2 linked regions of the Oryctolagus cuniculus genome follow. The protein of the gene in region 1 interacts with the protein of each later gene in a biochemical or structural test. Links are inferred from orthologs where the notes say so. Each region holds a gene or a part of one and is shown in the gene's direction. Other genes may lie near its edges. The genes, in order: PRKN and EIF4B.

Region 1 (3,812 bases):
AGTGATGCTTGGACTGAAGAAGGAATGTCAGCAGGGGGAGGACTTAGGGGACAGAGAATGACAGAAAGTAACCGCAGCTGAGCAGGAGCCATCCTGCGGAGACCTAGGAAGCCATGAGGATGGGGCAGTGCAAGCAACCCATCAACCTGACAGAGGCCGGAGCGTGAGAGTGGGGAAGGGGTGGGAATGGGACTTTAGATTGCAAGGCATCCTGGTGGGCTGCTGTGTGGAGGAGGCTGATGCCCAGTGGTGTGCATGCAGGGGTACCTGTGAGTGATGGACACCACCCCAGGAAGCTCTGAAAGTGACCACAACAAGGGAGTCTGGGGCGGGTGCAGGTGGAAGGAAGAATGTACCCCTGTTACTAGTTAAGGATTAGTATTATTGTGCTTCACCCACGTGTGGATTCAAAACCTTTTTGGAAATGTTCTCTGTTGTTACTTGTGAAATTGGTATCAAAAGTGAATGAGTCCCAGGTCCACAAGCACGTGTTCTCTGCTTGCTGCCCCTTTGGTCAAGCAAGCGTGCCTGTTGGCAACAGCAGAGGGGATGTGTGAGGTCTATTGTTAATGTGTTTGAAATTATTTGGAGCAATGCCCTGTTGGTGACAATAGCTAACTTTCTGTGCTCTTTTATAAAACAGAAATGAATGCCAGCCCTTACATTAGATAATTATAAGGACATATTTCTGAAGTAAATCAGTTTTTAAAATTTAAGATTATCATTTTCTACTGTGCCTCTGGAAGCATTGTGGTAATTCGTTTTTTTCCTATGGGGTTTCATATCCCTTTGAATGTCTCTTTAGGTTTTGGGTGTCATGTTCTCCACCACACACACATTTCTGTTTCTGGCCCAGTGCAGGGTTGCGTGTGTGCTGTGCCCAGTGTGGAAGCACCCTGGCACTGCTGGCAGGTGCCTGTGCTGACACTGGGTGTGTACACACATTTCCCAACTCCTGGTTGCTCAGCTGCGTATAGAAATCGTGCATACCAAGTGTAAGACTGTCTCGCACACTGTGGGACGAGGACCAGGCAAACTGTGCATGCATTTAATGCTGCCTTCCCCGTGTGTTTCCACCTGGCTCCAACAGAACTGTGACCTGGAACAGCAGAGCATTGTTCATGTTGTGCAGAGACCACAGAGAAAAGGTCCAGAGACCAACGTGCCTGGAGGAGACAACCCCAGAAGGACCTCAGGAGGCTTCCAGAGGGAGCCAGCGAGCTTAACACGCGTGGACCTCAGCAGCGACATGCTGCCGGCAGTCTCCGTGGGGCTGGCTGTTATTCTGGATGCCAATGGCAGCAGGGGCTCAGCAGCAGCTGGAAGTCCAGGTAATCACAGAGTCTGCCCAACACTTGGGGGGCACTTAGTCCGTGGTAAGTTTTGGATTGGCGTGTACAAACCGTTTGGAGGCCTCATGAGAAGGCACTTGGAGACCAACGGTAGAGGAATGCGTTTAATAGAAGTGTAACAAACAGAGCCACCATAATGAAATGGAATATGAGGGATGTCAGGAGATGGATGGGAGGTGTCGGGACCATGATAATAGGATTTAGTTTTCTTGAAGTACATTTCGATTGATTATGTTTCTGTTGATGTAGAGAAGCTTTAAAAAGCAGGCAGAGAAAGTGAGAGGTCATTTTAGGTTGTGTGGGTTCTAAGGCCGTAGTTTGTGATATCGGTGAAAGCCTTTCTCTGAAGGAGTCCTTCCTGTCTCTGCTCTAACCTGCTTTACAGTGCTTTTCTTTGGTAAGGAAGGGAGCTATTCCTCTGTTATTTTGACAATATTGATATGTTGCCCTACTCTTTTATTCTCCGAGCCAAATTGTCAAAAGAACACCAAGATTAATTTTGACCATGAGTGTGTTTGACAGACTATACAAAATAGTAACAAAGACTTCATGGGGTAGAAGGTGATGTCCCTCCCATCTGCACTAGGTCAGGACATAGGCAGTCCTGGGCTAGTACGGGTTTCACAGGGCCAGGGAGATCTGGGACCAGCAGGACGAAAGCATAAAATAGAAGGAAATGCCTCCTACAAATAGTAGGGGTTGATGGGTCCAGTTTCTTGTCACCCAGACAGGAAAGAATTCAGTGGTGGGACACTCACCAACACCAGTTGGAGGAAAGGATCTGCTGGCGGAGCCACCGTCCACCCTTGAAGAGTGAGTGTGAGCTCAAGACGATGCTGTGCTCGAGGGGCTGAGGCAGATTCTTTGATGAGGTTTTCCCACCTTGGATTATACCATTTACAGAAGGGGGGCAGATTTTACCATATCCAGGGTGGGTCTCTGTTGGCGCAGGTGCGGTTGGGATAACATGGTCTACCTCATACTGAAGCTTCATTACCATCTCCAGCCTCCCACAGGGTGTCTGTGACCACTGGAAGGAAGCATAGACTTGTCAGTGTTCAAGATGGCCCCCCAATCTGGTTAAAACCTTTTTTGTTTGCCTGTGTAGTGCAAGGAGGTGATTGGGGTCTGGCTGCTTAATCATTGATGATCAGGGCCTGTTTCTTATCAACAGATGGTTGTGACAACATTAATGTCTGGCATGGGGCATCCACCCTAAGCCAGTTACTTATCTACCCTGCCTCACTAAGCCAGCCCTCCCTCTATCCTGCCCCCACTCCTAAAATCACTAAATTGAATTTAATCAATTTTTGAAATCATAGATGAACTTGCTCAAAACAACACAGAATTTCCAGGCACAAGTGAATGAGTAGAAATAACACAACTATCTTCAAATAGAAAAATGAATTAACCCAGAATTTAGGAACTTGAGCTGATGATGTTCTAGTGGTCTTGGTTAGGTTACAGAGAGGAGGGAGGTTCTGCTTCAGGTGTACTGGGCACCTAGGGTACTGAAAGAAGACCTGAGAAATGGAAATAATGTAGCAAATAGCAAAATGGGGAAAGTTAGATAAACAGAAATCTATGCAATACCTATGTAATCCAAGATAAGAAATGAATTTAATTATTGGATAGAGGCTGAAAACACATCTGATATTTCAAGCAAGGCACATGTGGGATGACTCCCAAGAGCCCACTTAGATGTCCTGGCATGGATGCCTCCTGAGAGAAGCAAACCTTACTAAAGGGCATTCATGATCCCAACACTGCAAATCAAGCAAGGAAAACCCCACCTTGAGCATATAGGAGGCCAGAATATGCTACCGCTAAATATCAAAATACATCATCCTGAAATAGGCCTTTGTAACATTAAGGATGGCTTTGAGATGAGTGCCTTGAGTAAGAGCAAACACAGGGGAATCTCTACAAAAGCAGAAAGTCACGTTTTGTCAGGGAGGATCACATCTGTGAAGGAGGGCTCCCTCTGCAAGGGTGTCTCAGGTCAGCCCAGGGAGAGGAGCTCTGAGTCCCTAGAGACTTCTCTTCAGAGAAGGCAATGCCCTAAACCTGCCCTACGCACTTGTTGGCTGTACTTTCTCAGCCACATCCCCATTAACTGGCTCCTCCCACACCCTTCTCTCTTTTGTCCTTTGCTAAAGATGGTACTGAAACCTGAATTCAAGGCCACCTCTTTGATATTTACTCATTTTACCTGAATACCTTCCATAATTACATGAGTTAAATGTGTTAATAAACTTCTGTTTTGTTGTGGTTAGTCTGACTTCTTTACCTGGAGTTCTAGATAAAAACTACCAGGGTTGGTGGGAAAATGTATCATTTTCTCCCCTACACATGAAAGTGAACATAAACTGGAAGCTTGGCTCCTTCAAATGTGGGAGAATAAAGCAACAATCTGAAATAGAAAACAAAACAAATATATTTAGTGCTAATTAAACCATA
Region 2 (3,812 bases), on another chromosome or scaffold:
TAATGTGGCCGGCGCCGCGGCTCACTAGGCTAATCCTCCGCCTTGCGGCGCCGGCACACCGGGTTCTAGTCCCAGTCGGGGCGCCGGATTCTGTCCTGGTTGCCCCTCTTCCAGGCCAGCTCTCTTCTGTGGCCAGGGAGTGCAGTGGAGGATGGCCCAGGTGCTTGGGCCCTGCACCCCATGGGAGACCAGGAGAAGTACCTGGATCCTGCCATCGGATCAGCGTGGTGCGCCGGCTGCGGCAGCCATTGGAGGGTGAACCAACGGCAAAAGGAAGACCTTTCTCTCTGTTTCTCTCACTGTCCACTCTGCCTGGCCAAAAAAAAAAAAAATTCTAATGTTCTGGGGCTGGACATCTGGCATAGTGATGAAGGTGCCATTTGGGGTGCCACGCCACGTGAAAGTGCCTGAGTTAAGTGGCTCAAGGATTAGGCTCCTGCCACCCACGTGGGAGACCCAGACTGGATTCCTAGCTCGTGGTTTGGCACCTGTTGCGCCCCAGCCGTCACAGCATCCAGGAAGTGGACTGGCAGATGGAACATCATTGCTTCTCTGTCTCTGTCCTCTGCCTTTCAAAGTAAATAAATAAGTTTTAAGAAGTAAGTTGATGGTTCTGAAGAACCAGGCTAGTTACAAATGGCTTACAGGATTAACAGTAGAGAAGTGCAGCATAGATTGTGTGAGAGAATATTTTCTTAAATGTATTTGAAAGGCAGAGAGATCTCCCATCAGTTGATCAAAGCTGGGAGCGGGGACATTGATCAAGCCTCCTGCATTAATGCAGAGACCCAGCCACTTGAGCCACCACGTCTTCCCCCGCCCCGCCCCCCCCCCCCCCCCCCCCGGGTAGACGTAGGAGGAAGCTGGAATCAAGCGGAGCCAGGACTCCAGCACAGGCTTCCAGTACAGAACGCAGGCCTCCCAGGCTGCGTCGGAAGCACTCCACCAAGCGCCAGCCCTGGAGGAGGATGCTCTTTAATAACTGATTCTTGGCCGGCGCCGTGGCTCAATAGGCTAACCCTCCGCCTGCGGCGCCGGCACACCGGGTTCTAGTCCCGGTTGGGGCACTGGATTCTGTCCCAGTCGTTCCTCTTCCAGTCCAGCTCTCTGCTGTGGCTTGGGAGTACAGTGGAGGATGGCCCAAGTGCTTGGGCCCTGCACCCCATGGGAGACCAGGAGAAGCACCTGGCTCCTGGCTTCGGATCAGCGCTGCACGCCAGCCATAACAGCCATTTGGGGGGTGAACCAACGGAAGGAAGTCCTTTCTCTCTGTCTCTCTCTCACTGTCTAACTCTGCCTGTCAAAATAAATAAATAAATAAAAATAACTGATTCTTGCGGGATTTAGAGCCCAAGCTGTGTCTGAGTATCTGTGACTCTCAAATCATGTGAGGGAACAGAACCCGTGCCTGCATGCACACACACGCACCCATGGATAGAGCAAGTATCGTCTGATGATGATGGGTGATGGTTCTCGAGGCTCAGCACGGGTCCAGGGTGACCTTGTTTGACAGGACATAATGATGTGTTTTGTGCCGTCACTTCTGTGCAGACACCCAAGCTGGCGAAGTGAAGAAACTCAGGAACGCGAGCGGTCAAGGACAGGAAGTGAGTCATCGCAGACTGGGACTGCAGCCGCTTCTGGCAGAAGTAAGTCAGACCAGGGTGGGTATCGTCACTGCCACTGCCTGTCCCCAAGTCACACAGCGGTCTGGCAGTGCTAGATCGGCGGGCACTCTGTTTGGGTTAGCATGGACTGATGGGAGTTTAGCATCTCCTGCTGGGAAATCTGAGGAATGGGCACCAGGATAGAGGTAAACGATGGGTTTGGAGCCTACTTGACCGTTTACCTTGTCCCGTCATCGTCGGTCTTTGTGTCAGCAGTTTTGTGACCCTGAGCAGTCCCTGGGCCTGGAGTGCTGGGTGAGCTGCCCCTGGACCAGCCTTTGGTCATGGTGTGTGTGTCTTCCTTCCTCACTGGTGTCTGGTGGGTCACGTGTACCTGTAGTGTTGGAGACCTGGCTGGTTCAGTGCTGCTCCCCCTTCCCTTACCAAGATCCAGTCTTTAACCCTCCTTTCCTGTCTCTGAACTGTTTGGTACTTAAGCGTTTCAAAACACAGCTCAAGGCTGAAGCAATTTGGAGATTCCTCCAGGTATTGTAGTTTGCTGGAGTTTGCAGGTACTGCATGTGGAGCCGGCGCTGCGGCTCACTAGGCTAATCCCCCGCCTGCGGTGCCGGCACCCCAGGTTCTAGTCCCAGTCGGGGCGCCAGATTCTGTCCCGGTTGCCCCTCTTCCAGGCCAGCTCTCTGCTGTGGCCCGGGAGTGCAGTGGAGGACGGCTCAGGTCCTTGGGCCCTGCACCCGCATGAGAGACCAGGAGAAGCACCTGGCTCCTGGCTTCGGATCAGCGTGGTGTGCCGGCCGCAGCGCGCCAGCTTTAGCGGCCATTGGAGGGTGAACCAACGGGAGGAAGACTTTTCTCTCTGTCTCTCTCTCTCTCTGTCTAACTCTGCCTGTCAAAAAAAAAAAACAAAACACAGAACTGCATGTGGTACCTAGGGACTTTGTAGCAAAGGGAAAGTGTTCGAGAGTGTTGAGCTGATCCTGTAACTACGTCTGTAGAGCTGGCGCTTACAAACGTGGAAAGATCATGACAAACAGGTTCTGGGCTTTAAGGAAACTTTTGGTGCCCTTTTAAAAAAATAAGTGCACATCGGTTTTCATGAGTGTGTGCGCGTGGCCACGTCCTAGTGTGTGTGTGAGAGTGCTGAGCCCGAGTGGGCCGAGCAGTGAGAACTGGAGTTGGGAGCCGCCAACGCCCTGGCACATGGCTGCGCGCTGCCCCCGGGTGTTTTCCCGTGTTCTCTGCACACCGGTAGGCGCTTTGGTGAAGACGCTGTTTGACACTGCTGCAGGGATCCATCCACCGGGCACCCGGTTGGTGTCTTTCATGACGACGGGAGCTGCTAAACTCAGCTGTGGAGCGTTTTCCATGCCGCTGACATGGGGGACAGGGGCTTGTGCAGGTTGTGCCACCCCCACAGCCTCCACGCTGACCTCCACTCTGCCCCCACAGATGCGCGGAGGAGAGAGAGTGAGAAGTCTCTAGACAACGAGACCCTCAGTAAGGAGGAGGACTGTCACTCTCCAACTTCTAAGCCTCCCAAACCCGATCAGCCTCTAAAGGTAATGCCAGCCCCTCCACCAAAGGAGAATGCTTGGGTGAAGCGAAGTTCTAACCCTCCTGCTCGGTCCCAGAGCTCAGACACAGAGCAGCAGTCCCCGACCAGGTGAGTCAGCTCGCAAGCCGCAGAGTCTGAATATGGGATCTCGTGATGGAAAATGCCTGCGGGGTGCGGCCGGTGTCGCGACGCGCCGGCCTCACTCTCTCCGTTACAGTTAGTTGTGTGCTGGAGCTGGCTCGGAGAGCCAGTGCTCGGTTTTCTGCTTTTGGGTAGCTGGTTGGCATCCCTTGGATGACTTGACGTTAGCTACGATGGGCGTGGCGGGCACTGTAAACCAGGCTCTGCCCAGCTCTGCCGCATGGCAGCATGTACCTGGAGCCACCTCGCTTCTGAGGCTCGAACCTCCAAGCCTCGCACTGCCCTGGCACGGCTGCCATGATTCTAAAGCACACAGCACTTACGTTCAAATGATTGCTTCCGTCTCTGTCTTTCCTGAATTCTAACACCCGTATGTTAATGTAGCCTGTTTCTGGTAGCGCTTACTACATTTTAGAAATGGTTCTGAATGTCTGAGGCGTTCCCACTCTGAAATAACTTACACAGCTGCGTGTTTCCCTTCCAGTGGT

Evidence for each region.
Region 2: of the proteins of PRKN (region 1) and EIF4B, one has a biochemical effect on the other in vitro, tested with the Homo sapiens proteins (2 studies listed by BioGRID). The link is inferred for Oryctolagus cuniculus from reciprocal best matches to the Homo sapiens genes PRKN and EIF4B.

Annotation. Positions count from the first base shown.
Region 1 is NC_091436.1:6,463,016-6,466,827, forward strand, and holds part of PRKN (E3 ubiquitin-protein ligase parkin), read left to right. Parts: intron 1-1,090; coding exon 1,091-1,331; intron 1,332-3,812. UniProt on the Homo sapiens protein: Functions within a multiprotein E3 ubiquitin ligase complex, catalyzing the covalent attachment of ubiquitin moieties onto substrate proteins. Substrates include SYT11 and VDAC1.
Region 2 is NC_091442.1:56,100,938-56,104,749, forward strand, and holds part of EIF4B (eukaryotic translation initiation factor 4B), read left to right. Parts: intron 1-1,551; coding exon 1,552-1,664; intron 1,665-3,077; coding exon 3,078-3,291; intron 3,292-3,808; coding exon 3,809-3,812. UniProt on the Homo sapiens protein: Required for the binding of mRNA to ribosomes. Functions in close association with EIF4-F and EIF4-A. Binds near the 5'-terminal cap of mRNA in presence of EIF-4F and ATP.